Linked DNA regions of Callithrix jacchus. The protein of the gene in region 4 interacts with the protein of the main gene of each other region in a pairwise test. Links are inferred from orthologs where the notes say so. Each region holds a gene or a part of one and is shown on either strand. Other genes may lie near its edges. The genes, in order: TRIM37, CALCOCO1, MEOX1, CWF19L2, NAB2, SF3B4 and MAD1L1.

What was found.
Region 1: the proteins of CWF19L2 (region 4) and TRIM37 interact in binary tests that used the Homo sapiens proteins (3 or more experiments, as listed by UniProt). The two-hybrid records come from large-scale screens. The link is inferred for Callithrix jacchus from reciprocal best matches to the Homo sapiens genes CWF19L2 and TRIM37.
Region 2: the proteins of CWF19L2 (region 4) and CALCOCO1 interact in binary tests that used the Homo sapiens proteins (3 or more experiments, as listed by UniProt). The two-hybrid records come from large-scale screens. The link is inferred for Callithrix jacchus from reciprocal best matches to the Homo sapiens genes CWF19L2 and CALCOCO1.
Region 3: the proteins of CWF19L2 (region 4) and MEOX1 interact in binary tests that used the Homo sapiens proteins (3 or more experiments, as listed by UniProt). The two-hybrid records come from large-scale screens. The link is inferred for Callithrix jacchus from reciprocal best matches to the Homo sapiens genes CWF19L2 and MEOX1.
Region 5: the proteins of CWF19L2 (region 4) and NAB2 interact in binary tests that used the Homo sapiens proteins (3 or more experiments, as listed by UniProt). The two-hybrid records come from large-scale screens. The link is inferred for Callithrix jacchus from reciprocal best matches to the Homo sapiens genes CWF19L2 and NAB2.
Region 6: the proteins of CWF19L2 (region 4) and SF3B4 interact in binary tests that used the Homo sapiens proteins (3 or more experiments, as listed by UniProt). The two-hybrid records come from large-scale screens. The link is inferred for Callithrix jacchus from reciprocal best matches to the Homo sapiens genes CWF19L2 and SF3B4.
Region 7: the proteins of CWF19L2 (region 4) and MAD1L1 interact in binary tests that used the Homo sapiens proteins (3 or more experiments, as listed by UniProt). The two-hybrid records come from large-scale screens. The link is inferred for Callithrix jacchus from reciprocal best matches to the Homo sapiens genes CWF19L2 and MAD1L1.

The regions. Positions count from the first base shown.
Region 1 is NC_133506.1:93,607,089-93,610,622, forward strand, and holds part of TRIM37 (E3 ubiquitin-protein ligase TRIM37), read right to left. Parts: intron 1,283-3,534; coding exon 1,139-1,282; intron 1-1,138. UniProt on the Homo sapiens protein: E3 ubiquitin-protein ligase required to prevent centriole reduplication. Probably acts by ubiquitinating positive regulators of centriole reduplication.
Region 2 is NC_133510.1:65,835,906-65,840,071, reverse strand, and holds part of CALCOCO1 (calcium-binding and coiled-coil domain-containing protein 1), read right to left. Parts: intron 3,912-4,166; coding exon 3,753-3,911; intron 3,344-3,752; coding exon 3,195-3,343; intron 1,316-3,194; coding exon 1,225-1,315; intron 1-1,224. UniProt on the Homo sapiens protein: Functions as a coactivator for aryl hydrocarbon and nuclear receptors (NR). Recruited to promoters through its contact with the N-terminal basic helix-loop-helix-Per-Arnt-Sim (PAS) domain of transcription factors or coactivators, such as NCOA2.
Region 3 is NC_133506.1:70,519,546-70,523,094, forward strand, and holds part of MEOX1 (homeobox protein MOX-1), read right to left. Parts: intron 739-3,549; coding exon 566-738; intron 1-565. UniProt on the Homo sapiens protein: Mesodermal transcription factor that plays a key role in somitogenesis and is specifically required for sclerotome development. Required for maintenance of the sclerotome polarity and formation of the cranio-cervical joints.
Region 4 is NC_133511.1:7,239,203-7,243,368, forward strand, and holds part of CWF19L2 (CWF19-like protein 2), read right to left. Parts: intron 2,666-4,166; coding exon 2,550-2,665; intron 1-2,549.
Region 5 is NC_133510.1:62,619,171-62,623,709, forward strand, and holds the end of NAB2 (NGFI-A-binding protein 2), read right to left. Parts: coding exon 4,150-4,539; intron 3,700-4,149; coding exon 3,566-3,699; intron 3,223-3,565; coding exon 3,171-3,222; intron 3,077-3,170; coding exon 2,944-3,076; intron 2,731-2,943; coding exon 2,539-2,730; intron 1,549-2,538; coding exon 1,439-1,548; 3' UTR 682-1,438; downstream 1-681. UniProt on the Homo sapiens protein: Acts as a transcriptional repressor for zinc finger transcription factors EGR1 and EGR2. Isoform 2 lacks repression ability.
Region 6 is NC_133519.1:9,859,317-9,863,944, forward strand, and holds the start of SF3B4 (splicing factor 3B subunit 4), read right to left. Parts: upstream 3,213-4,628; 5' UTR 3,169-3,212; coding exon 3,135-3,168; intron 2,703-3,134; coding exon 2,574-2,702; intron 2,334-2,573; coding exon 1,791-2,333; intron 1,460-1,790; coding exon 1,253-1,459; intron 1-1,252. UniProt on the Homo sapiens protein: Component of the 17S U2 SnRNP complex of the spliceosome, a large ribonucleoprotein complex that removes introns from transcribed pre-mRNAs.
Region 7 is NC_133503.1:56,827,613-56,831,778, forward strand, and holds part of MAD1L1 (mitotic spindle assembly checkpoint protein MAD1), read left to right. Parts: intron 1-751; coding exon 752-833; intron 834-2,594; coding exon 2,595-2,725; intron 2,726-2,878; coding exon 2,879-2,993; intron 2,994-3,946; exon of another isoform or gene 3,947-3,948; coding exon 3,949-4,010; exon of another isoform or gene 4,011-4,166. UniProt on the Homo sapiens protein: Component of the spindle-assembly checkpoint that prevents the onset of anaphase until all chromosomes are properly aligned at the metaphase plate.

The DNA.
Region 1 (3,534 bases), on a different chromosome or scaffold from region 4:
TTTTGAGACGGAGTTTCGCTCTTGTTACCCAGGCTGGAGTGCAATGGCGCAATCTCGGCTCACCGCAACCTCTGCCTCCTGGGTTCAGGCAATTCTCCTGCCTCAGCCTCCTGAGTAGCTGGGATTACAGGCATGCACCACCATGCCCAGCTAATTTTTTAAAAATATTTTTAGTAGAGATGGGGTTTCACCATGTTGACCAGGATGGTCTTGATCTTTTGACCTCCTGATCCACCTGCCTCGGCCTCCCAAAGTGCTGGGATTACATGCTTGAGTCACCGTGCCCGGCCCAGAAAAGGTTATTTTTAAAGTTATCTTAGAGTACGCTAGAAAAATCTCTGAAAAAAACCCCAAATATCTGAAGTCTCCCTAGGCATTGCCAATCATTTGCTATGAAAGGTAGAGAGTAAATATTTAGGCATTGTAGGCCACAAATGGATTCTGTTGAAAATTCTTCTTTGGGCTGGGCACGGTAGCTCATGCCTGTAATGCCAATACTTTGGGAGGCTGAGGCGGGTGGATCACAAGGTCAGGAGTTCAAAACCAGCCTAGCCAACATGGTGAAACCCCATCTCTACTAAATATACAAAGAAAAAATTAGTCGGGTATAGTGGTGTGTGCCAGCAATCCCAACTACTCATGAGGTGGAGGCAGGAGAATGGCTTGATCCCAGGAGGTGGAGGTTGCAGTGAGCCAAGATCGTGCCACGCCACCCCAGCCTGGGTATCAGAGCAAGACTCTGTCTTGAGGGGGAAAGGGGGAGAAAAAAAAGAAAATTCTTCTTGGTTTCTTTTGCTTGTTTTTTAAGACTCTTTACCTCTTTACAAAGTAGAAACCATTCCCAGGTCATGGACTATACAAAAGCAGGCTGTGGGCCCCTTCTCTACCCAGTAAGTAGTACTCATTAGGTGCAACCAAGTCAAATATTACCAACTATGTTTTTTCAGTACTCACCATAATAGTTTAACAAAGAATGTTGTCTCACAAATGACAATAATTAAAAAAAAAAAGAAGTAGAAGCAAAAGAAGCAAAAGCAGCAGAGCAGAAGTAGTAGAAGTAGCAGCAGCAGAAGAAGAAGAAAGAGAAGCAGCAACGGCGGTTTTATTAATCTGTGTAAAATGACATCATGTGTTGCACCTTCATCCGGGGGTTGTGTCATGACCAAGAAAGAGTCGTGAAACCCGCCCACACTGGTGTGCTCTTCCTGCTCCTCATTCTCAGTGTCACATTCAATGTCACTGTCGCTACTCATTCCTGGCAGGAAGGAAGGAGAACATGTTTCTGAAAAGAAACCACTATTAGTGAAAGGAAACAAATCTCCTTATCTACTAACCTGAGATTCCTAACTGAATTTTACATGGAATGCCAATAATTCAGTAAACTAAACAAAGACAAAAGTAACCACAAAAATGGAGATTCTCTTTAGCTATTTATAGCAGTGGTTTTATTTTTGTTCTCTAAGTTCAAAATTGCCCTTTCCACAGTACCTGAAAGTTACAATTTGAAACCAGTATTAATTTCATTATATTGAAAATTTCTTTTTTCTAAATCAAACACTGCTTTTTTTCAGTCACAAGAGATAACAGGAATTCTTTTAATCCTGACTCATTGTAGACATAATTATAGTCCCTAGCCTAAAACATATATAAATATAAACATATTATACAAATACACGTGGTATATGAATATTAGAAATTCTGGCAATTCTAATAATACATTAGTTTGTATTCTAATTGGGCATTTACTTTTTTTGTGTATGCCATTTGACTTTTATTTATTTTTATTTTTTGAGAGACAGGGTCTCTGTCAACCTAGGCTGGGTTGTAGTGGCCTGAAAGCTCACTGCAGCCTCAACCTCCTGAGCTCAAGCGATACTCCTGCCTTAGCCTCCCAAGTAGATAGGACCACAGGTACATGAAACCATGTCTTGCTAATTTAAAAGTTTTTTTGCAGGGACAGGGTCTTGCTATAATATGTTGCCCAGGCTGGTCTCGAACTCCTGGGCTTGAGAAGAGATCCTCTCGCTTTAACCTCCAGAAAGATAAGAAACTTTCATTAGTGGGTCAGGGGCCACAGTTGCCCTGGAGTGCTACATGTGAGGATTTAAAAAAATTTTTTTTGAGATGGAGTCTTACTCTGTCTCCCAGACCGGAGTGCAATGGCACAATCTCGGCTCACTGCAACCTCCACCTTCTGGGTTCAAGTGATTCTCCTGCCTCAGCCTCCTGGGCAGCTGGGATTACAGGGGCCTGCCACTGCGCCCAGCTAATTTTTGTATTTTTTAGTAGAGATGGGGTTTCACCATGTTAGCCAGACTAGTCTCTACCTCCTGACCTCAGGTGATCTCCTCGCCTAGGCCTCCCAAAGTGCTGGGATTACAGGTGTGAGCCACCATGCCTGGCCTATGTGAGGATTTTTCTTTTTTATCTATCTATCTATCTATCTATCTGTTTTAGAGATGGGGTCTCACTATATTGCCCAGGCTGGAGTGCAGTGGCTATTCACAGACGCAATCCCACTACTGATCAGCACGGGAGTTTTGATCTGCTCTGTTTCTGACCTGCCTGGTTCACCCCTCCTTAGGCAACCTGGTGGTCCCCTGCTCCTGGGACATCGCAATATTGATGCCAAACTTAGTGTGGACACCCGACTGGCATAGTGCACTACAGCCCAAAACTCCTGAACTCAAGTGATCCTCCAGTCTCAGCCTCCCAAGCAGCTGGGACTATAGGCACGTGCCACTGTGCCTGGACACAAGAGGATTTTTAACACTGCTTTGGGATAGAAAAATGGACCCATCACAGAAAGGAAATTGAAAGTGAGACTAAAACCCCACCCCTGCATAATGTTAAAATTTTTGCTTGTTTTTTGAGACAGGGTTTCACTCTGTTACCCAGGCTGGGGTACAGTGGTATAATCATGGCTCACTGCAGCCTTGACCTCCCAGCGCTCAGGTGATCCTCCCACCTCAGCCTCCCAACAGGCGCACACCACCACACCTGGCTAACTTTTGTATTTTTTTGGTAGAGATGGGATTTCACCATGTTGCCCAGACTGGTCTTCAACTCCTGAGCTAAAGCAATCCACTTGCTTTGGCCTCCTAAAGTGGTGGCATTATAGTCATAAGCCATCATGCCTGGCCACTGCTAAAGTTCTTACTGAAAGAATAGGCTAGAAAAAATTCTCTGCCTACTGGCATAGGAAAATAGAAAGGAACTTTGTTACTACTGGTCTCTGAAGAGGGAGAAAAAAGTCTCACCTCTAAATTCAAAGTAAGATTTATGTGCCTAATTTAGGTTTGGGATTTAAAGTTGAGGTTCAAATTTCAAGAAATTAACTTAAAAATTGTTCAGGAGCTAGTGTTATCTGAATAAAGCAAAAGTAAAATCCTCTCTGGAAGGAAGGTTCTAGGTACAATGGAGGAAGAACATTCCAACCTATCTTTCCCATTGAAAGTAGCAATAAAACCTGGAGAGATGGATGGTATAGTAATCTAAGGATGTTCATAGTTATTTACTTTGAAAAGTAAATAG
Region 2 (4,166 bases), on a different chromosome or scaffold from region 4:
CCACACCCCACCCCTTTTTTTTTCTGAGACAGAATCTCACAATCTCACTCTGTCACCCAGGCTGGAGTGCAGGGGTGTGATCATAGCCCATTGCAGCCTCGACCTCCTGGGCTTAAGCAATTCTTCCACCTCAGCTTCCTGAGTAGCTAGGACTACAGGTGCATGCCACCATGCCTAGCTATTTTAAAATTTTTTGTAGAGATGGGGTCTTACTATATTGCCCAGGCTGGTTTTGAACTCCTGGGCTTGAACAATCCTCCTACCTCAGCTTCCCGAAGTGCTACAATCATAGTCATGAACTACCACGTCTAGCCATGAACCTCCCCTGCTTTTTTTTTTTTTTTTTTTTGAGACAGAGTCTTTTACTCTGTCACCCAGGCTGGAGTGCAGTATTGTGATCTATGCTCACTGTAGCCTCTGCCTCCTGGTTCAAGCAATTCTCCTACCTCAGCCTCCCGAGTAGCTGGGATTACTGCCACCCACCACCATGACTGGCTAATTGTTGTTATTTTTAGTAGAGACGGGGTTTCACCATGTTGGCCAGGCTGGTCTTGAACTCCTGACCTAAGGTGATCCACCCGCCTTGGCTTCTCAAAGTACTGGGGTTACAGGCGTGAGTCACCGTGCCCGGCCTTCACACCCCTTTTAAAAAGACTTTTCTAACATCTCTAACAAAATCTGCTCTCACATACCTCCCTAGAGCCCTACAATACTTCATTAGATTTCTCTTGAGGCCAGGCACAGTGGCTCACACCTGTAACCTTAGCACATTGGGAGGCTGAGGTAGGCGGATCACTTGAGATCGGGAGTTTGAGACCAGCCTGCCCAACATGATGAAATCCTGTCTTTACTAAAAATACAAAAATTAATTGGGTGTGGTGGTGCACGCCTGTAATCCCAGCTGCTCGGGTAGCTGAGACATGAGAATCGCTGGAACCTGGGAGGCAGAGGTTGCAGTGAGCTGAGACAGTACCACTGCACACCAGCCTAGGAGACAAAGTGAGACTCTGTCTCCAAAAAAACAACAACAAAAGAAGATTTCTCTTGTGACACTTCTTATATTCCACTTTGACTAATTCTGATTTGGATATATGTCTTCTGTTCCCGAGTAGAGCACACACAATGTCTTCTTTACATTTTTATTCCCTTTGGTGCCCGGCTCTCAGAAAGGAATCAAACACTGACTGAACAATGGAGAAAGTAAACCGACTCTGAGCCCCTTACCTCGCTTTGCTCCTTGTCTGCTTGTACTTCTTTCAGTTGCCCAAGGAGCTTCTCTTGTTCCCGGGTCAGGGCCTTCACTGTGTCTCTAACCCTGGGATTGGTAGGATGACATGTCAGACAATCTGCTCCACCCAGAGAAGGAACGGACTCAGACCTCTATCTTGTGCCCTTTTACTGCTGCTCTAGGCCCAGATCTCCATTTCACTCTGGGATGCATAAATCCCCAAGCCAGCGGATCCAGTTCTAAGCCCCAAGATTCCAGGTTCTAGAGCACAATTTAGAAATAAATAGTTTTTCTTCTTTTTTGAAGTGATATTTTAAGGAATGTTCTGCTGATGGCTCCTACTGATTTCACTCAATCTAGTCTTTTCGAGACAAGGGCAGTCATTATTGATGATAAACTTTTGATCTAGACCAGAAGTTGGCAGACTCTTTCTGTAAAGGGCCTGATAGTAAAGATTGTATGCTCTGCAGGCCATGTGGTCTCTGAGGCATCTATTCCACTCTGTCATTGCAGTGCAGAAGCATCCACTGACAATATGCAAGTGAACGAGAGCGATGTTCCAACAAAACATGAACAAAGATTTCAAGTTTATACAATTTTCATGTCACAAAATATTCTTCTTTTAGTTTGTTCTTAACCATTAAAGGATGTAAAAACTATTCTTACCTGTGGGCTACACAACAGGTGGCAGGCTAAATATGGCTTGTGGGCCATAGTTGTTGACCCCTGGTCTAGGCAGTCCCTAATCTTTTCCAGATGCTCAATCTGACCCCTGCTTTTCTAACCTACGACTTAGAATGTAGACAGCTAATATCTCCCTAGGGCGAGACTAACATGTCCTGAAGAAGCCTCTCAGATGAACCCACTTATTACTTTGGGCCTCGGACGGAATGCCTTTCTTTTAAACAGTTTTAAAAAATATCACATCTACCAGTACTAAATGAAACATAATTATGTCATTTAATGAAATAAGGAACTAGATAGAGTGTTTAAACTCGTGAAAGTTTGAAGGATGGACACGGGAGGTGGTATCACTATTTATGCTACTTGGTAGAGGTACCAGTTTTCTGGAAGAAGAGAGAAATGTGTTCTGTGTGTCTCCAGAGGTCTCAGGACCTCCTGGTAAGTTACAGGAGGATGGAGTTTGGCTTAATACAAGAGATACAAAAATGACAGCTGTCAAATGTTGAAGGAGGCTGCCTCCTGAGGGTGACCTCTTACATACCCTCATACATACCTTACATTCCCAATGCCAAGAGTCTATGATTTTAATTTTTTCAGGGGAGAGATTCCATAATCTTCCTGGATCACCAGTTCTAATGTTTCTTAATAGTAACTTTCCTGTGGTCAAATCTGAAATCCATCCTCTCTCTCTCTTTTTTTTTTGAGATGGAGTTTCACGCTTGTTTTCCATGCTGGAGTGCAATGGTGCAATCTCAGCTCACCGCAACCTCCGCCTCCCAGGTTCAAGCGATTCTCCTGCTTCAGCCTCCTGAGTAGCTGGGATTACAGGCATGCACCACCATGCCCAGCTAATTTTGTATTTTTAGTAGAGACAGCATTTTTCCATGTTGGTCAGGCTGGTCTCAAACTCCTGACCTCAGGTGATCTGCCTGCCTCGGCCTCCCTAAGTGCTGGGATAACAGGCATCAGCCATCTCGCCCAGCCATATCCATCCTCTCTTATCTTACACTGACTTCTATCCCTTCTCTTCTTCCAAATCCTCCACTCCCAGCTCTGGCTCAGCTTTTGCTGCACAATAAGGGGTAACTATGATTATTTCTGAAGAGAAGGAGTAAAGACTAGTGTTTGGAAAGGTGGGAGAAAGCTCAGCAGAAAAGGGTATCCCCAGTAACTGGATTAGCCTGAGTGAGGGTGAGGGAAAGAGGAAGCATGTGGGGCAGACAGCAGGTCTGCCTGCCTGAGAGAGGAGGCTGGAGTGAGGGGGTCAGTGGACTCCCCTCACCTGTCCAGCTCCACCTCCTTCATCAGCACTTTCTCACTGATTGTCTGGATGTCGTCCTCCAGCTCCAGGATTCGTGCCACATGGTCTCCCTGTTGCCGGCTCAGGATGTCCCTTTCTTCTGTGATCTCCCCATGGGACCTCGAAATTCCCTGTAATTAAGTTTCCCCCAGAAGAAAAAGGAGGTTGGGATTCATCTCTCAAGTGGTGGAACAAAGACTTAGGAAGAGTACTCCAGGGTCTGACTGCTCCCACCCGGCTATCACATCATCATCCTTGAAAAAGAAACTGTAAGGGAACATTCCCTTACCTATCAATGTAGCTACCTCCACCTTAGCCCAGCATCCCTATGTTCAAAGAACTGAGTCTCATTACAAGTTTGGAACATGTCTTTTGTCATATCAAGTTTAATCCCACTTGTTACCCCTTAAATCTATTTCCTTGACGCCAGAACCATCATAAAAGCCAATTAACATCTCTCCTCCACCCTCTTCCCTGGGTTCAGATTTTAGACACTGGGTGAGCAGCCAGGCCCTGTCCCCTACCTGGCCCAGCTCCCACCTTGTACTGTTCTGTCAGCTCCGCGTGCTCCTGCCTGGCAGTTGCCAGAACCCTCTCGAGCTCCTGCACTCGGCTCCTCAGCTCTGTCACCTGTGCCTCCAGCTGCAGCTTCAGCTGCATCAGGTCATTCCGTTCTTGCTGGCTCTCATCGAGCTGGTTCTATAGATGGCAGGATGAGAAGGGGGTGTGCTGGTGGAGTACCCCTTCTAAGGGCCCATCCTCACTCAGAATGCATCAGATGCATTTTGGGGTTGGGGAGTTATGTAGCTTTGGGCTCTAAAGAGGTGAGAAAGGGAATGCTCAGTGTGCTACGGAATCCCATCCATCACACAGTCAGATGCACCAGCTCATGGCGCCCTGAACTGCCCATCCCTCTTTTTCCTTTCCCTGACCTAGGCCTGGCCCTTTCTTCAC
Region 3 (3,549 bases), on a different chromosome or scaffold from region 4:
TATTACTATGCTTCTGTATCAGAGAATGGGTGTGGGGGGGTGGGATGGCTGAGGGAAAGTCCAAAACAAAGAGCCAGGGAAGTTTCTCAGTGTGCCCAGGAACCAGTGGCATATCCAGATCACCTGGGGAACGTACTGGAAATACAGACTCTCAGGCCCACTCATTATGGCAAAATCGCTCTCCAGACCTCTGGAATCCACATTTTGAACAAGTGCCTTAGGGATTCCAACATATACTCAAGTTTGGGAATAGGCAGACCGGAGGTCCCAACCTAGGTGCATATGAGAATCACCTAGGGGGCCTTTGAAAAATTTTGAGGCCTGTATCCCATCCCAGACCAATTAAAATCATCCCCAGGTTGATTTTCATCTTTTATCATCTCCCACCCAGACATCGGCGCTACTAAATTCTCCCCAGGTGATTCTCAGGTATGGCCACAGTTGAGAACCACTGGACTGGATGGAGGAGGAAGAAAAAGGAGAAGGTCCAGGGAGGGGTGGCAGGAAAGGAGGGAAGGGAGGGAGATGAGAGAGCAGAGAAGAAGAGGGGCTGCCAGGGGCACACCTGGCGCTCAGAGAGGTCCAGGTTTACAGCGATCTCATATCTGCGGAGCCGAGTCAGGTAGTTATGGTGGGCAAACTCCGCCTCGAGCTCCCGCAGCTGCTCCTTGGTGAAGGCTGTCCTCTCCTTTCGGGCCTTGCTGCTGCCGTCCGGCTTCCCTCGGCTCTCCTGGTTGTCTAGGGAGAGAGGACCCCAAACAGGAAGACATGGGCTGAAGGAGACTCCATTCCCTTTCTTTTTTCCTCGAGCAACTAGGCAGCCTTTCCCAGTCTCCCTTATTTTTACAGGATGCTGAGAAAGCTACGCTGCCCTCTTTATTCCTTCTGGTGTCTTACCCATCTTAGAACTGGGAACTTTTTTTTTTGGCTTCCAATTTCAGGTACCTGCTCCCCCCCACACACCGCCCCCACCTTCAAACTTTCTTTTATTCTCAAAGCACAAGAAGCTACTCTTGGCTGTTTAATGATGTCTACTCCCCAGCCCACCCCCCAGCATGTCATAACTGGTGGCCGTAAGTTTGTGGGGTGAGATGAGATGCTCTAAAACAAAGCCTCAAAATGTGGTCCCAAGATCGGCAGCATCAGCCTTACCTGAGAACTTTTGCAGATGGAGACCCAGAGGTCCCAGGACTAGGAGAAGTGATAGAGGCAGGATTTGAGAACTTGATAGGACTGCAAATCCTAGTCTCACTCCAGACCTACTAAGTCAGAAGCTCTGGGGATGGCGCTCAGCGATCAATTTTAACAAACCCCTGTAATCCCAGCACTTTGGGAGGCCGAGGCGGGTGGATCATGAGGTCGAGAGATCGAGACCATCCTGGTCAACATGGTGAAACCCCGTCTCTACTAAAAATACAAAAAATTAGCTGGGCATGGTGGCGCATGCCTGTAATCCCAGCTACTCAGGAGGCTGAGGCAGGAGAATTGCCTGAAACCAGGAGGCGGAGGTTGCGGTGAGCCCGCGCCATTGCACTCCAGCCTGGGTAACAAGAGCGAAACTCCGTCTCAAAAAAAAAAAAAAAAAAAACCAAAAACAAACCCCTCAGATGCGTCTGGTGCATGATCAAGTCCACTGCTGTACGACCTCACCACTCAAACGAGGGCCTGGACACCAGCAGCATCAGCAGCACCAGGGAGCTGTTCAAACCCGAAGGATCTCAGGCCTGCCCCAGACCTGCCTACCCAATCAGAATCTGCCCCAGAGAGCCAAGTATGGAAAGTCATCTGGACCCCTCGGAAGGAGGCTCCTGTTAGAATCAGTGTGGCTCAGTCATAACTGCCAGCAGGGTCTGGGACACACCCTGCGCCAGGTGCTGTACCTGACAAATATTAGCCTCTTAATCCTCAATAGCCCAACCAAGTGGTTCTAGTATTAGCCTCACTTTATGGACCAGAAAATGAACATGGAGAAGTTAAACAGATTGTCCAAGTTTATTAAGCCAGGGGATGTGGGAGACAAGAATCAAATTCAGGCGGTTTGACTCACACATACTGTTCAAATGAAAAATATGTAGGGGCCGGGGGCGGTGGCTCACGCCTGTAATCTCAGCACTTTGGGTGGTCAAGAAGGGAGGATCACGAGGTCAGGAGTTCAAGACCATCCTGGCCAACATGGTGAAACCACGTCTCTAATAAAAATACAAAAAATTAGCCTGGCGTAGTGGCACACGCCTGTAATCCCTGCTACTTAGGAGGCTGAGGCAGGAGAATCGTTTGAACCCAGGAGGCGGAGGTTGCAGTGAGCCGAGATCAGGTCATTGCACTCCAGCCTGGGCGATACAGCAAGGCTAAAAAAAAAAAGGAAGGGCTTACAAGTGGTAAAGTCCTGAATAAATAAAAGGGCTGCATGGTTATCTCTGGAGCAGACGGTGGGAGGCAGCTCTACCTTCACTTTAATGACTGGAGATGGTCGGTGGAGAGGAGGCGGGCAGAGACCACACACCTAGCCATTAACTCTCAATGCATGCCACGTGGCCAGGGAATGGCTGCAGGAGCCATGAATAAGGGGCTCTAACATTTAAGTCTTTCGCTTCATTGTCCTCATTTTATAGACACAGAGACCGTGGTTCATAGTGAGGTGCTTTACTGAAACCTGCACCCCAACTTCCTGCTCCCTGAAAGACCCATCTCTGCCTTGCTGGATAGTGTTGGAAGGGGAGTCCTGTTTTCAAAGGCCGAGTCTAAGCTACCTGGAAGCCAGGGCTGGGGAATTTAGACCAGCTAGTCTAAGGCAGAGAAGCCGCCCATGCAGGCGCCTAAGCAGCCGCATTGGGAGTGGGTGGCGAGGCAGGAACCCCACCTTAACCGGGCGATCCGCTTTGGAGCGGAGCCTAGGTGGTTCTCTTCCCAACACCCCGCTCTACTGCTTTTTATGCAGTCCCCCTTCGTATTTCCAGCTTCCCCGTCCTCCGCCCCCGCTCCCCACTGCTTGGGCTGGGCGGCTTTCGAGCCGGAGGCGTGCGGTAAAGTGATTTGGGCGCCTGGCCGGGCCCACCTCGCGCTGCGCGTCCCTGGTCCCTGCCGCGGGATGGTAGGGGAGTGGGTGCCACCTTTCCAGGAACCAGAGAAGCGGGGGAGGGGCCTGATAGTCCCGGTGCCCTGGCCCGGGGGTCTGCGTCCGATCGGGTTGGCTGCCTTTGGGGCGCGCCCAGGGAACAGGGCAGGGGGCCGAGTTCCAGGCGCGGGCTGCCTGCCCGGCGGCCTCTGGCTCCAGGCCGGAGAAGGCAGGCCCAGACCCTCCGGAAGCGGGAGCGTGGGCTGGAGGGAAGGACGCGCAGCCCCGGGCTGGGGTCCCCGAGGAGCCCTCCGGCCTTGGCCGCCGCCAAGCGTCGCGCCCCCTCCTGGCAGCAGGCCCGGGAGGGTCGGTCACGAGCGGATGACGGGCTTCCCGGAGCACAGCCCGGCCCGCGGGCCTGGAGAGAGGCAGGAAACCCTGGCTTAGACGCCGGGCGCGGTCGGAGACTGGTTTCCCAGTTTCCTCCCGCCCCG
Region 4 (4,166 bases):
GCTGTTCATCTATAATAATAAATAAATAATAGACTCAAGATGAAATTTTTAAAAAATTAAGCTATAATTCTACATAAAGAATTCAATTTACAATCAAATTATCCTTCCTAGGTATGAGAAAAAGAAAATCATTTTGAAAAATGCAGAGAATAAGAGGGCATAGCACTAGCAATTCTGAGGGCAAAAAATTGCTCAACATGATTAAGTCACTCCATAAATGAATTAGGGCAAAGATCTCTGGAAAAAAAAAAAAAAACAGATGCTAAAAACCAAATGGGAAATGCAATGGTCAAGTCTAAACAAATGTCCTTGTAGTTGCAAAGGTTAAAACAATTTTCAAGGAAAAGATGCATCACACACAGAAACAGAAAGCAGAAAGGTGGTTACTGCAAGGAGAGGGGATGGGAAGACGGAGGTCAACGAGTACAAAGTTTCCATTTTATAGGATAACTAAGCCTTGAGACATTACGTCCAATAAGAGGACTACAGTTAATAATACCCCATTATATACTGAAAATTTGCTAAGAGAGTAGATTTTAGGTACTTTTATCAGACAAAAAAGGAGAATAACTATGTGAGATAAATAATACATTAATTTGCTTAACTGTAGTAATTATTTCCTTGTGCATATCAAAACATCCTGGAATACAACACAATAAATAAATAAATAAAAATTTTAAGAAACAAACAAAAAAGCACCTTTTACTCAACTTTGAATATAAAGATACTTAAACATGATATAATCTTAAACACAAGAAGTCATTACTTAAAGACAAGAATACCAGCTTCCAATCCTCTCATCAAAGTTCTAAAATTATAACTACTTCAAAAAGAAAAGAAAGTTTAAATATTTTAACAGAGAGGAAAAAAGCAAAATAATTATTTGCATATAACTACCTTCCCACATAACCCAAAATTTTCTAAATTAGAATAAAAAGTTTAAAAAATTGGCCAACCAACACCAATAGCAAGTCAGAAAACATTTTTAGATTTCAATTTATAATTGAAAAAAATAAAAATAACCTCAGTGGCATAGAGATAATAACTGCAGAGAAAACTCGTGAAATGCATAAATAAATACTTGGTGTTTTAGGATGGGATGACTGTATATTATAAAGATACTAGTTGTTCTTAATTTATCTATTCATTTAGTTAAATCGAAATTCCAAAAAGTTATAAATTTATAAAAAATTTTGGAAAAATGTTTATTTCTGGTGAGCTTAAACTAAATGTACTCAAAGTAAATATAGCTGTACGTTCTTACGACTGTGGTGGTGGCGAAGGCCTGCCAATGAGCATTAACTCATGAAAAAATCATATGAGGGGTTTTGATAGGTAAAACTATGTCAAACATCCATAGCAAATTATAAGCAAAGTAAAAAACAAACATGAAGCTGAGGGGAAGAAATCTGAACAGATTTATTAAAAAGTCTTAAATCATTATTCCAAAGGAAAAATGGGCAAATAATATCAATAGTCGATTCACTAGAAGATACAAATGGCCAAAATAAATATTAAAAAAATTCCAATTCACCAGTAAACAAATGTATAAAAACAAAAGCAAAACTTAAAATTTTTGCCAATCACAATAACATAAACTATAAGGAATAATCTTACTGTTGAAAATTATGTGATAAAAGATATTCTTAAGCATAATGTGTTCATTCTTTCCATAGGAAATCTGGCAACAGGTACATTGCTCTAAATGTCTATATCCTTTAAACAGGCAGTTTCATTTCCAGTAATTCACCAGTAAGAAAAATATGCAAAATGCATATTCCCTTGCAACAAGGGAAAAGGAAAGCATATAAATGTTCATCCACTGACCAACAGATGAAGGAAAATCCTATAAAACGTATATTAAAATATTAAGAGGTCATTAACATGTATATAATAACTGGCATCAAACTATGTGTAAATTAAGTTAAAAAAAAAAGCCAGGGCATATTCCATAAGCCTACTTTAGAAAGCAGGGGGAGAATACCTGGAAAAGTATATTCCAAAACTCTTACTACTTTCTAAACCTGCTTTCCTCTGGTAATTGAGAAAAAAAATAAGAACATCGATAATTATTGCAATAGAAAGATTGTCCAGAAAAAATGGGGAAACTGGCTCTAAAATATATACTGTTGCATGCTTTTATTGTTTTAAGAGTATATATACACTCTTCTAAAAAATTCTGTAAAACACCCAAACTCTAGAATATACCTAACTCTGGAATATACAAAAATTTCAACAGTGGTTACCTCCAGAAGTGTACCATGCAAACTTTCCAGCATTGTTTAAATTTTATCACAATGAAAAAATGTTACTTTTACACTAAACACACCCACACTTAAGTTTTATAAACTTAAGCTTTACATTCATTAAGCCAATAAAAAATAGATATCTGTTTACATAATAATGAAAAGCAGAAAATTACTTCAGTAGTATAAAGACATGAAATGTAATATTAATTCAATTCTTCATGGCACAAAACAAAGTTAAAGGCACTTAATTTTTCACATAATTCTGAAAATAAGACCCATATCCTTAATACAGATACTCACCCCATATCTTTCGGCTACAATGTCCTCAAAGTTTCTATTTTGTTTCTCAGCTTGTTCCTTCATTCTTAAATAAGACTTCCTTAGCCAGCTTAATCCACCATCTTCTACCACTGAAACTAAATTCCAACATTAAATATTCGTTATACTTTTAATGTGGTTATCATACAATTAAGATTTATTGCTTCTATAATGACTTCTAAAATACAAATATTTTTCTTTAAATATATAAGTGCATTCGGAATTCAACATATGTATTATATGTGACTGCCCATATATGTAAGCCACAGAGTTTTGCCGCTAGGAAGAAGGAAAAGATAAATAAATCTATCTTTAAGAAAATTCCAATCTAAGAGAATAAGAATAAAAGGACATAATTAATTAAAATAAAAATAAAGTGACCGCTAATATAAAAAGATACACAGGGTTCAAGAAAGTGAGAAAGTAAAGAGTTATTTCAAAGTGAGAAGTCAGGGAAAATTCCAGAAACCAGGCTCAAGAAAATGAATTGGGTTTCTATTTTAAAAAGGTAAGGGAGGACAGTCCAAGAAATAATTAAGGAATAACAAGGACACACACAGAAAGGAAAAGCTACCTCAGTGGCAGAACAAATAGGGAAGTTACGCAAGTGGATGTTAAAACAAATTATCTTACTTTACTCATAATTACCAACCATGAACATTTGGAGGCCTTTAACGAATTTTTTAAGCTGGCTTTCTTTTCTTCTTTACACATCACACTTTGGATATGTGTCAAGAAGAAATCAATTACTTAAATAATAATTCTGTTCCTTGGCCGGGCGCGGTGGCTCACACCTGTAATCCCAGCACTTTGGGAGGCTGAGGCAGGTGGATTACGAAGTCAAGAGATCAAGACCATCTTAGTCAACATGGTGAAACCCCGTCTCTACTAAAAATACAAAAAATTAGCTGGGCATGGTGGCGCGTGCCTGTAATCCCAGCTACTCAGGAAGCTGAGGCAGGAGAATTGCCTGAACCCAGGAGGCGGAGGTTGCAGTGAGCCGAGATCCCGCCACTGCACTCCAGCCTGGCTAACAAGAGGGAAACTCTCTCAAAAAAAAAAATAAAATTCTGTTCCTTATTTTCCTTGCCCCAGAACATGACTGCTTTAAGATCTCCCCAGCTCTATAACCAACAAAAATGCACACATATTGACCCCAAGACACATATAAGAATATTCATAGCAGAACACTACAATAATTCCAGCCTGGAAACAACCCAGGAAATGTATACCAATAGTACACAGGACACCTCCTACATTGTGATATATTCCTAAAATATACTATTTATTATTATACAGCAAAGATAATGAAAAACTACAACTATACACAACAACACGGATGAATCTCAAAATGTGGGCAAAAGGAACTTGAAACAAAGGAGGATATACTGGTATCTGGTACTAGAAAACAGAATAATGGTTACCCTTCCCGTGACCAGGTAGTGACTAGAAGGCCATAAAGGGGGCATCTGGGTTGCTAATGAGATTTTTCAAACTGTGTGCTGAGTAAACAAATGTTTTCATTTGATGAAAATGATTAGTCTGCTGCTGTACACTTATGGTTTGTGTATTTATGTACACACATAATTTACATGTAAG
Region 5 (4,539 bases), on a different chromosome or scaffold from region 4:
GGGCCTAGGATGGATAGGCAGAACATTTACACTAGGGATAGAGGGTATTGGGTCTTAGCCCTGGGGGAATGGGAAGCAGCTCAGGGGACCCTGGATGGGAGTACAGGAGGGGTCTGAACATGTGGTTACCAACACAGGTTTTGCCCTGATTAAAAAACAAATCTCCCAAAGCCCCAAATTCCTGTCAGCCAGATGGAGGCTTTTGATATGTGTATGAGACTATGCAGAAGTACAAGGGCCAAATTTCTTCCTGTATAGCTGTGTGAACATGTATGTACCTATGTTAATGTATAGTTGGCACATCAGTTGCATGAAAACATAGAGTATGTGTCTATCTGCTTTTGCCTGTGTGACAACACAAATCTGCCAGTGAGACATTGCACAGAAGACAGCACCAAGTGTGCTGCCCTCTCTGACATATGCTAACCCAAAAGTACTCTGAATTTGGAGTCTGACTGCCCAAGTAGGTCCAAGTGGCTGTAACATCTACATATGGCTCCACACCTCCAATGCCACCTGGGAGCCAGGGTGAGAGTCTGGGTCCAGGCCTGGCCACGTGGCCCTCCAGTGTATGAGGGACCCTGCCTGCTGCATCTTTTCTGTTGCTCTATCCACTGCCAGCTTCCCTTCACTCCCCTATCCCATGCCAACCTTTCTCCCTCTTGAGGCAGGGGTCATAGATCCTAAGCCATAAAATAAATTTTATTCCAAAATAACAAAATAAATAATCTACTGTACACAATCTGAAAAGAAAGACACTCTTAACTGCTCAGATAGGTGCTGTGCTCCAGCCCCCAGCTGGAGGAGACCCTGAGTCCAACCCAGGCCTCCCGAGGGGGCCAGTGAAGGGATCCCACACCCACCGCCCCCACATAGGGCAGGAGGGAAGAAATTGCTAAGGACTTGGGGGAGAGATGGGAATGGGAGGGCAAACTGCAGCACTTGTTAAATTAAAGAAACAAACCAGAAGCACAAAAATGGGGAAGGAGAGGGGAGAAGGAGCAGGTCCAGTGTTCCCAGGCCCCCAGTTCTGGGGGCAAATGTTGCCACCTTTAGCTGCTGGACCTTCCCAGGGAAGTCCCCCTCTCCCCCTTGTCCAAACTGAGTCCAACTGCTCACACCACTGGTGCAAACCTAAAGAGAATGGGAGTGTGTTGTATGAGGGAAGGGAGAACCCCAGATGCCCTGGAGGCAGAGTCCTTGCCCCCTCGCTCTGGGCAGGGGTGAGGGCACCACGCACCCTCCTTGTGTCCTCTCTCCAGGCCCCTGCTTGTTATTGCTTGAAGCCCCACAGTCTATGCCCATGGAGCAGGTGGGGAGGCAGGAGAAGGGCAGCAGAAGGATCCAGGGTTGTAACTAGATTCCGGGGATGGAGAGCGTGGGGGTCTGTGTGAGCCAGAAGTCTGGGGTCCTGTGTCTGAAAACACCAGTGCACCCCTCACTGCCGGCTGGCCTCAGCCTCCACTTTCACACTGCTCCTGCGACCCTCCACCAGCGCAGGATGGGGTCCTGGGGCAGGACAGCGGTCCAGCAGCCCTTCCTCGAACTCTGCAGGGAAAAGAGGGCAGTTAGGAGACTGCGGGCTGACTGGCTGCAGACAGAGGTGGTTGAGAACAGAAGCAGGGGCAAAGAAAGCTGTGAAGATGGGGTTGGTTTATTAATTACTGTCTCCTGCCCACTGCATGTGTACAGTGGGCTCCATTCCCGTGTGGGAGCCCCCTCCCCTCTGGCTGTGTGTAGCTCTGTCTCTGTCTGTGTCTCTCTCTTTCTCTGTCTCTCCCCGCCTCCTCCGTGGTGCTGGAATTTCTGGTTCTGTCAGGAGCTGCGGGGGTGGTTTGGCTCTGACCTCTCCCCTCCCCCCCTTCCCAAGCTCTGCCACCCCCACTCATCCCTGGCCCCCTCCCAGTCCCCACCCACCCTACCATGACCCCCCAAGTTTTTTTGGTAGCCAAATCAGGGGGAGCGCAGGAAACCAGCCTCCCAGCTCCTCCCTCAAGAAGAGCCCCCCTTCCAGTCCCCGCCCCCACTTTCCACCCACGCACAGTTTAAAAATACCAAGCCAGGGTTGGTGGCTTTGTCTGCTGCGTCACTCTCAGCCCAGCGGCTGCCCGGCCCTCTGCCGGCCCACTCCTTCTTCCCCCTTCCACACACAAAGCATCCCCGCTTTGGGCTCCTCTGCTTCCAAGCTGGGCAAACCCATCCCCGCAACTCCTAGCCTGCTCCTGGCTCCTGGGTTGGTGGAAGTGTCATTTGAGCTTCCCTTATTGATGTTCCTCCTTCCTGCTCCTTCATCCTCTTTTCTCTGTCCCCCACTCCCCAGTTCTCCTTTCACAGATCTCCACTAGGACCAGACTTTCCATGGTGGAAGCAGCCCAGCAGGGTCTGCCTCTCCACACCCCAAGGCCTGGCTGGCTGTAGCCCGGCCCTCCTACTGCCCTCTCTTACGACTATATACCTCTTCCTCCCACCTGGCCCCAGGACACCAGAATTGCTGTGTGGGGCCTGGGTGCTTGGGGACAGCACTGCTGGCTGCCTCACCTGCGAGAGGTGGCTTCGCAGGCACACAGGGGCTGAGGCGGCCCACGCGATCGTGGGAGACGAGGCGGGCGAGCCGCAGCCCCTCGTCCATCAGTGTCTGCTGCAGGATGTGGCGGCTCCATAGCCCATGGGCTGGCAATGCCAGAGGCAGGTCAGCAGGGGGCGGCGTCAGCCTTGGGCATGACCCCACAGCTGTGGGCATGGGCACTGGTCAGGTAAGGGGCTGCAGCCAATGGAACCCCCACCCTCAACCACACAGCCAGCCCACAGGCCCTTCTGCCCCCCCCTCCAGCCATGCCTCCCAGCCCTGTTCCAGACATTGCCTCCTGGCTCACTCCTCCCCCCCACCCCCATCCCCACCCCCTTACCCCCAATGAAGAGAAAAGTGTTCTGAGGCACACTCACCCTGCAAGTGTCCATCCAGACTCTCCCCAGACAGGCTGGCGCTGTCCTCCTCCAGGCTGGGGCGGTATGGGGGTGCATAGGACTCAGGGCCTGGGGGAGGCTGCTGGATTTCAGGGTGACTCTGTTCTCCAACCTGTGGATGCCCAAAATGGGGAAATGAAGACTTGGCAAGAGAGGGGATTGGAGAAGGCTGCCTGACGCCCCTATATGCAACCCAGAAAACACACCTCTTGTTTCAGCTTCTTCAGTGGAGGGCCTCCCAGTTCTTCAGGGTGGAGCCTGAAAATACGGATAAGAATAAAGAGGGTGAGGCTGCGGAGGGCCATTCGATCATTCGATGGGCAGAGTCCAGAACCTGGCTAGAGGCATGTGTTATTTAACACCTTTGCCAATAAGTTGGCAGAGAAGGAGTGTATAGCTCAGGTGCTATTGTTGTAGGGGGTTGGGGGACCCAACATGGATGGAAGGAGAGACCAGACCTGAGACAAGCTGACTTAGCCAAAAGCAGGACATGCAGGTGGGGCAGAAGCAGGCCTAGAGCTGCCTAAGCTGAAGGTTTAGATATGATCTAACTCCATGGTGGGATTCCAGTCCAGGAAGGACCTGGGGAAGGGGGTCTCACCTGGAGCCTTTCAAGGAGGACAAGTAGGTGCTCTCTCGGGCTACTTGGCGGGACAAAGAGAAGAGCTCCACTCTCCGCAATAAGAGCGTGTTGTCCCTCATGCAGAACTGGGCAGCAGCCTCGTTGATGGTAAGCTGTGGAGAGAGGGCAGCCAGGAGAGTCAGAATTGAAACTCCCCGGCTGCCTCACCAGACCTCCTCGCACCCCTTCACCATCGGACAAATGAGGCCCATCCATTGGATGCTTGCTTTGTTTCTGACACTATACAGGAGCTTTCTGAAGAAAGAAGACAGAGGTCAGCACCCACAGCTTCCTAGGAATGCCCGGGGCCTCCACTACTCCTGTGGGGTCCTGAGTGACACGGAGCTGACAACAGCTGGGTGCTGCCTCTATCTTTGCATCCTCCTCAGCTGAGGATGGGAGCATTGTGGCCCCTGGGTGGGGGCCTGTTGGGGAGGGGGTCAGGGCCTGGGGTCCTGGTCAGGGGGTAATGAAAGAGAACTGGAGATCTCAGAAGCTCGCAGAGGTAAGCAGCTAGAGGCCCACAAGTCAAGGGCAATCCTAGGAGGCCTGGGGGTTCTTACCTCGTGCAGGCTGAGCTGCTTGCCCTCCCGCCGTTTAGAGTCGAAACGGCCATAGATGATGCTGTATTTGCGGATCTCCTCTTCCTTCTGGCTGTCATTATCATCCATCTCAAAGATGTGCCCCACGCTCCGTGCCAGCTTCTTATTCAGCTTTAGCAGGGATGTGACCTCCCCAGCATCCCCCCTTGGGAAGCTCCGGAAGATCCTCTCCACACTTTCCACCACCATGCGTACCATCTCTGGCTCCAGTCGATCTGGACTACCCCCAGTCCCACCTGCTGCCAGCCCCCCAGCCCCAGTCCCCTCAGGGACTCCTCCCCCTGTAGGGGGGGAGAAGGGGGGCGAGCCAGCCTCCTCTTCTCCTCCTGCCCCAACGTCCGACTCTGGAGT
Region 6 (4,628 bases), on a different chromosome or scaffold from region 4:
ATTAAGCACCTGGAAAAAACGAATACTAGAGGAAGAATAGGTTTGAGGGAGAGGGATAGAAAGGTGGCACTATCTATTAAGCAGCAGCATTAAGGATCTGGAATGTTAACAGCTATGAACTAGAGACACAGATCTAGGAGGCATAAAACTACACATATATGCAGAAAAGAAAAGCACAAAAATCTACGCCCAAGTCCACAGAAGTCTATTGTGGTAGCTAAGATTAAGGAGTCAGAGAAAGAGGGGGAGGATCTAAAAAAGAAGAAGCAAAGAGACAAGGTTGGTTTTTTTTTTTTGAGACGGAGTTTCACTTTTGTTGCCCAGTCTGGAATGCAATGGTGTGCTCTCAGCTCACTGCAACCTCTGCCTCCTGGGTTCAAGCGATTCTCCTGCCTCAGCCTCCCAAGTAGCTGAGCTTACAGGCATGTGCCACCGTATCTGGCTAATTTTTTGTATTTTTAGTAGAGACGGTGTTTCTCCATGTTGGTCAGGCTGGCCTTGAACTCCCAACCTCAGGTGATCTGCCCGCCTCAGCCTCCCAAAGTGCTGGGATTACAGGCATGAGCCACCGTGCCCAGCCAAGAATTTGTTTTCCTTTTTTCTTTCGAGACGGAGTTTTTGCTCTTCTTGACCAGGCTGGAGTGCAGTGGCACAATCTCAGTTCACTGCAACCTCCGCTGCCCAGGTTCAAGGGATTCTCCTGCCTCAGCCTCCCGAGTAGCTGGGATTACAGGAGCAAGTTACCATGCCCACCTAATCTTTTGTATTTTAGTACAGATGGGGTTTCATCATGTTGGCCAGACTGGTCTCAAACTGCTGACCTCAGGTGATCCACCCAGCTTAGCCTCCCAAAATGCAGGGATTACAGGCAGAAGCCACCATGCCCAGCCGAGACAGGAATTTCAAATAGGAAGACACGTTTCAAGTACATCAGAGGTCAAACCAGATAAGGAGAACTGTCCCTGAGATTTGGCAATTAGGTCACCACTTTGAGGTGGAGTTAGAGGAGAGAATGGAACTAAAAGGTAAAGAAACAAAAAACAGCAAGCATAGTCTGCTCATCAGAAAAACTTAAGAAATCATTTCAGACTGGTAGCTGTTAGAGTGTATTTTGTATGTTTTTTTATAAGAGAATGTCTGAAGAAAAGGAAAACTCTTAAACTGTTACTGTTGAACAAAGGGCAGCAGGGTGAGTGGTGACAGAGATGCTCTACCAAGCTCTTCCCTCCCTTTCCCAACAAAGCACACCTACCTGGATGGGGCATCCCACCTGGTGGGAATGGATGAGGATGTGAGTGTCCATGACCAGGATGTCCTGCCCCTGGGGTTCCTGCCGACGGGGGGCCGTGTCCTGCAGCCCCAGGCGGCATAGGTGGTGGGGGCATGGCTGGAGGTATCCCAGGTGGGAGGGCTCCAGGAGGCGGCACTGGGGGTGGGAAGGAGCCAGGAGGAGGCATGCCTGTAGAGGAAATGGAAGAAGGAAGAGTTAATGGTAGTGGGGAGAAAATGTCTTCAAAGAGCTGACCATATTTGGCCTCTCCAGCCACGGCGAGTTCTTTGCCCCTCCTCCCAGTGCTGGAAAATCAAAAGCAATGTTAGAATAGTCAAATAACTTCAGCCTCCCAAAGATACCCAACAACATTCTCCTCCACCACTTCCCATCACTCACTGACTTCCCATCACTCTTCCCATCACTCATTGACTCAATGTCCCTCTTTCAGACTCTTTTTTCTTCCCCTGCTGCACTCCTCCAACCTTAAGGACAAACATATTTTAACCAAAAGCCTTACCTGGTGGAGGAAGCCCAGACCCCAGTGATGATACCACAGGATTGGGGGCAGAGGGTGGAGGAGGCGCATCTGCAAACAGCTGATGAGGACGGTCAGCCTGGGAGAGTGGGTTCTGAGCTGCCAAAAGTCGTTCAGCTGCTGAGCCATGGCGCTCACCCTTGGAGTCCTTCTTGAAGGCGTAAGATACAGTGATAGGGCGGTTACAGAGGTACTGCCCATTCATGGCTTCAATTGCTGCATCCGAAGCATCAAATGAAGCAAAATTAATAAAGGCATAACCTTTGGAGTTGCCTGTGTCAGGGTCCCGCATAATCTTAGGGGTTTGTAAGATGACCCCAAAGGCGCTGAAAGTATCATAAAGCAACTTCTCATCAATCTCAGGGTCCAGGTTGCCAATGAAAATGTTGGCCCCTACATCCAGGTTTTTGTTGTGAGCTGATGCCTTGTTCACCCGTATTGGCTTCCCATAGAGTTTGATCATGTTCATGATCTTAATGGCATAGTCTGCATCTTCCTCACTCAAGAATTCCACAAAGCCATAGCCTGCAGAAGTGGAGAGGAGGTTAACAACCTAAGTGAAGAGATTCAAAATGGGGTAAAACTCACCTCCCCTCTGATCACAAAGAATGAGAAACAACCTCACTTTATTTGAGAATGGCTCCAGAAATAAACTGAACTGAGGCTTAAAACAAAGAAATCTTTAGGTTGCTCATCTCATTCCAAAACAGTTGTGAATACTGCTGGGACCCTCCAGGAGCAATTTGCCCCTTGCCATGTACTCACCTTGGTGCTGGCCAGTGACTCTATCCTTTGGCATGTGGGTGTTGACTACCGGTCCAGCCTGGAGAAACAGTTCCCACAGCAGCGGTTCACTAACCTTCTCATCCAGGCCCCCGACGTACACAGTGGCATCTGAAGGGAGGGAGCAGAAAGTCAGGGCAACGGTGAGAGTATAACAGGAAAGGAGGTGATGGAAACATGAAGATGGAACCCAACCAGAGGAACTGGGGACCGGGGCAGGGTAGGAGCAAAAAAAAAAAAAAAAATACGTTTAACCCTTAAACCTCTTTCTTCCCAAGACTTAGGAAATCCTCTCAAGGCTAATTTAGTATTCTGGGTGGATTTTTTTGAGTGGGAAGGCAGCAGGGGATTGGACATAAAAGTATCACACCAACAGGCCTAAGCCAGCACCCAGCCACCCCGCCCCCAGCAGGCATGGGGCCGGTTTCGCGCCCTCTGGGGAACCGAGGAGTTCAGCTTCCCACCCCTGCAGAGGCACTGCTGACCCTAGTCGGGACCTCCTCGCCATGCTGAGCGCATTCCAGATTCTCCCCCTCCAGTTACCCTGGTTCCGCTCGGAGATCGGCCCGGCAGCCATGGCGAAGGAGCTCCCGCCGTCTCCCAGCAGCGGTTCCGCTCTCTGACCTCAGCCCGACTTCCACTTCCGGGGCGAAGGCTGACGTATGGTGGGCGGGGCCGCAGAAGAGGAAGTGCCTGGGAGCAGCCGCAGCCATCTTAGGAGCCTCCTTGTTTTAACCCGGCTCGACCGGTATAGTCTTCGCCTCCCGCGCAGTTGTTCTGTTGCTAGTGGTCTAAGCGAGGAGGGCGAAATGGAAACGCTCAGACCCTCTTAATGCTAAGCTTGAAAAAATCACACTGCTCCCAAAAATGTAAATTCGAACTCTGAAAGGACAAGGCTTTACTTTTGCTATATTTTGTGGCCACTGATTCTTCTTTTGTTTCCCAGAGAAGAACGTGCTGAAGAGTCCCCGCAGCCGGAGGACTCGGCTGCTTTCAGGCGCAGAGGGAAGCTTCCATCTCGCCTGCAGCCTTCTTGCAGATTTGGCCTCACAGCCCTGATTTGGCCTCACAGCCCTGATTTGGGCTGGAGGTATTGGTTTTCCTTCAGGGGAGGAGACTGCGGAATGTCTGAGCTGGAGTGACGTCTGCGCTCACTTCGTCGTAATAACATGGGGAGGGGAAGGGTGGTGGGAATCAGGCTGCTCCGAGGGTGTTTGACCACAGCTGATGGGTGGATGGGCTCAGAGACTTCAGTATGGATTTCTAGAACACTCTGGCCCCAGAGACATTTTTTTTTTTTTTTTTTTTTTGAGACAGTCTCGCTCCATCGCCAGGCTGGAGTGCAGTGGCACGATCTCAGCTCGCTGCAACCTCCGCCTCCTGGGTTCAAGCAATTCTCCTGCCTCAGCCTCCCGAGTAGCTGGGACTACAGGCGCGTGCCACCACACCCAGCTAATTTTTGTATTTTTAGTAGAGACAGGGTTTCATCATGTTGGCCAGGATAGTCTCGAGCTCTTGATCTCACGATCCCCCTGCCTCGGCCTCCCAAAGTGCTGGGATTACAGGCGTGAGCCACCGCGCCCGGTAGCGACAACATCCTGACATGCTCGTGCCCCATCTAACCCTTTCCCCAAACTGCACTTTAATTCTGCAGCGCCTCACTAGACCCAGTTCCTCTGTTTCCTTATCAATAATATGGTGGATGCCTTCCTCTCTTGGGTCACACCCACCTTTTACCCACCACTCTTTGCTACCTAGGAGAATCCTTTATTCAAACACAAGAAACAATGCCAACAATGTGTATAAATACCATGCTTTAATGAACCCCTTAAATAGCAATTCCACTACAAAAATACACAGAGGAGACAGGGTGTTTCCTGTATCCACCTCATTCTCAGAAAACTGTAAGGAAAGAAACAGAAGTTGGAATTAAAGCAGCAGCAAGGCGGGGCCGTGTTGTTGGGACTAATGAACAGCATCTCTAATCTCACAATTAACATCTGGTTATCCAGAAGGGATGGAATTGGCTTAAAAGAA
Region 7 (4,166 bases), on a different chromosome or scaffold from region 4:
TCCTGGCCTCAGGTGATTCTCCTGCCTCATCCTCCTAGAGTGCTGGGATTACAGGTGTGAGCCACTGTGCCCTATTCAGGGCTAGATTTAAAGGGTAGCACCATGTGCCTTGGAGGTGCAGGGGATGTGGCTGGGAAGGGATGTCCAGGTACAGGGCTGGGCTCAGCCAAGGTACAGACATGAGAGCCTTGTGTGGAGGTGCAGTCAGCACCTCCTAAGATGCCCAGCACCGGGGGCATCTCCTACCCAGCATTTAGGAGATGCCCAGCACCATGGGCTTCTCCTACCCAGCATTTAGGAGATGCCCAGCACCATGGGCATCTCCTAAAGGGTTTGACCCTTCCCTCGGCAGATGTGGTTTTAGGAGAGTTCTAGTTTCGTAGTAGAGAGGAGAGGTCATTTCTGGGCGGGGCTCTGCCACAACTGCACCAGGGCTGCGGGTTGCGGCCGGCAGGTGAAAGTGTGGGTGCCGCTGCTGTCGAGGACCTTGCAGGTGGCTTGGGCTCACTATGCACTCTGTGCGGATGAGCAGACTGAGGCCTCAGAGCCAGCCAGCAGGGGCTGGGACCCAGGACCTTAGGGTACCCATGCAGTGGGAGTGTGTGTGGAGGGGTGTGTGCAGGTGGGGGTCCTGAACCTTGGGGTGGGAGTGAGAGTGTGTGGGTCTGTGCTGGGGCGGATCTCAGGCTGAAGAGAATTGTTGGCCTTGCCACATGCCTGTTTCTGTATGTGATGTATTTTTTTTTAATAGAAAATGGCAGGAAGCCAGTCAGAAAATCCAGGAACTCCAGGCCAGCCAAGAAACGAGAGCAGATCAAGAGCAGCAGATTAAGGTGAGTTGCTTGTGTCAGGTGCCTTGTGGACATCCCTGTGGTGGCCTTGGCTCTCTTGCCCTTGTCGGCCTTTCTGCACCAGTGCCGAGCTCTGTGGGCCTCCTGTGAGATTTGCTGCTGCCCTGTGTGGTGGGCATTTTGCTGGGCACCAGGGATGCCATGGTGAATGGGGCAGATGCTGCTGACCTCAGGGAGTGTGCATTCTAGAGGATGGAGACTGACCAGAGACACGAAGAGAGTGTCCGAATGTATGATGATGTCAAGTGCTGAAGAGTGTGAGAAGGTGATACAGGCATAGAGGGGCTAAGAAATCTGCCCACAGTTGCACAGCTGGAGCTGGGTCTCAGTCGGGGTGACCTACTCAAGCTCATGCTGTGCCCTTTCCCTGTGGAGGGCATGCCAGGGAGACGCCGACTCCGGATCCCTCTCCTACCTCCTGTTGCCTGGAGAGCAGCTTTCAGACCTTGTGCTCCAGCTGTGCCCTATTGGCCCCCCATGTACCCTCACCTCCATGCCTCAAACCAGCTCTTCCTGGCTGCAGAGCTGACTGTCACCCCCAACCTAGCCTCTGCCATGTCACCTCCTGGTGGTGTTCCCTGGCCCCTCATCCTCCTGTCTGCATCCCTCGGCCCACCTGTCAGGATTTGCTGGCTGGTGAGGCCTGGTGTCTGCCACTTGACTTGGTACATCGCACAGAGATGGACTCTGTTAGTGTTTGTTGAATGACCATCTGGTTTGGTTGTGGTTTCATCCTCTGCCTGTTCACTGACTTGCTGCTCACAGATGTCAGCTGTCTGTGTCCCAAGGAGACTGGGTACCATAGGGAAAAGCCTGTCCTCACTATTGGAAAGAGTAAGCCGTTACACACATGCTACTAGAGGGGCAGAAGTGGGCTTGACACAGGAGGATGGGATGTTTCACCATGGAGTGTCATCTTGGGCCAGACTTGAGATAGACTTTTGCTTCTAGATAGCTCCCTGAGGGCAGGACAGTGGTGTGCACAGTAGCCCAGCGGTGTGTGGTGAGTGCCAGCTCCCAGTGTGCAGTGGGCTGGGAGGACGGTGTTGGGAAGAGCTGCCCTGGACTGAATGCCGAGGCTCAGTATTGGAAGCAGCTTTGAGGGCCCTGGTGCAGCCCGGGAAGGCCTCCCAGAGGAGAGTCCTGAGCCATGGAGGCTGCTGAGGACCTGGGGCAGTTTAGTGGAGGAACTTCCTGGCCTCAGTGACTTTACTCTTTAGGGGATGCTTTTTTCTATAGCAGATTTAGGTTCACAGCAAAATGAGCAGAAGGTAGAGCTCCTGTGCACCCCTGTTCCCCGACCCCCCCCCCAAAAAAAAGCACACACCGCCTTTCCTGGTAGAGTGGAGCACATATGACGGTTATGAACCTGTCTTGATGCATCAGTGTCAGGGAGAGTCCACAGGTCACTCAAGTGTCTCTCCTAGAGTGGGACAGTGTATGGTTTGGGCAAATGTAAAATGTCCTATATTCACTGTTAGAGTGTCACACAGAAGGGTTTTACTGCCTAAAAATCCTTTGTGCTCCCCCAGTTAATCCCTGACTCTCTCCTTTTGAGTCGCTGACAATTCCCAAACTTTTGCTGTCTCTATAGTTCCCCCTTTCCCAGAATGTCCGTGGTTGGATCCTAGCTCCTGTAGCCATTGCAGACCAGCTTCTTTCTCTTAGTCGTGTGCGTGTGATTTTCTCCAGGTCTCTTCATAGTTCATTTTTCCCTTCTTCTCTGTCCCTGGCCTCCATCAGGATCTGGAGCAGAAGCTGTCCCTACAAGAGCAGGATGCTGCTATTGTGAAGAACATGAAGTCTGAGCTGGTGCGACTCCCTAGGCTGGAACGGGAGCTGAAACAGCTGCGGGAGGAGAGTGCACGCCTGCGGTGAGGGGGCATGGGGGATGGAGTAGCCTGTAGTGAGTCTGGGTTTGTGTGCAGGAGCCTGTGTTGCAGACCCTGTAGGGGCAGGGCTCCTGGGCTCTTGGCTTCATCCCCAGGGTGTGTGGCTATTTGAGCAACTCTTTGTGGCACTGCCAGGGAGATGAGAGAGACCAATGGGCTGCTCCAGGAGGAGGTGGAAGGGCTACAGAGGAAGCTGGGACGCCAGGAGAAGATGCAGGAGACACTGGTTGGCTTGGAGCTGGATAACGAGGTGAGGGTTTGTGCAGAGTGGGTCGTACCCTTGTGTTATAGGGTGGGAGGCAGAATCATGGTCCCCAGAGAGGTCCATGCCTTATCCCCAGAGCCTGTGAACACGGCACCTTCCCTGGCTGGGTGATTGAGGTCACAGGTCAGCTGGCCCACAGTGTGGAGGGGCTCCTAGGCCATCCTGGGGGCTCAGAGTGACATCAGAGGGACTTGGCAGCTCCTGCTCGGTGTGGAAATGGAGGAGGGGCCACAAGCCAAGGAACAGGGGTGCCTCTGGAAGCTGGAAAGAGCAGAGAAGTGGACTCTCCCCTGGAACCTGCAGAAGGAACTCAGCCCTGCCAACACCAGGATTCCAGCCTAGGGAGACCCATTTTGGATTTCTGAACTAGAATACTATAGGATATTCCATTTGTAGGCCTTTTTTTTTTGAGACAGAGTCTTGCTCTGTTGCCAGGCTGGAGTACAGTGGCATGATCTTGGCTCACTGCAACCTCTGCCTCCCTGGTTCAAGCGATTCTCCTGCCTCAGCCTCCTAAGTAGCTGGGACTACAGGCATGTGCCACCACGCCCAGCTAATTTTTGTGTTTTTAGTAGAGACAGGGTTTCACCATGTTGGCCAGGATGGTCTCAGTCTCTTGACCTCTTGATCCACCTGCAGCCTCTCAAAGTGCTGGGATTACAGGCATGAACCACTGGGCCCAGGCTGCTTGCTGGGATTCATACTTGAATTCATGGGGCTGGGAAGGAGTGACGCATGAAGCGTACAGTGTGACTTCTGCAGTTGGGGAATAATAACCCAGCCACTTCCAAGCAGACTTGGAGCATTTAGTGCCCAGCTCAGAGATAAGGGTAGGCTATCCTGAGAGGTCAGGGACTTAGCGCCGTGATCATTATTGTCAGTCTTATGTGATAATCCTGTGGCGGTGATGACAGGGTCCGTGCTTTTGTTGTCTTTTCAGAAGCTGCTGGCCAGGCTGCAAAGCTGGGAGAGACTGGAGCAGACCATGGGCTTGAATGTCAGGTAGGGAGGGCCAGGTGCCTCTGGGGTCCCACCTTCTCTGAAGGGTCACTGGGGGAGAGCAGAGTCTGCCTCATGCTCACGGGCACTGTCTCTAAAAGCCTGGTGGGGGCCTTTTGTCCTGGGCTGCTCAGGTTTAATGAGGCCTTTCTCAGCTGG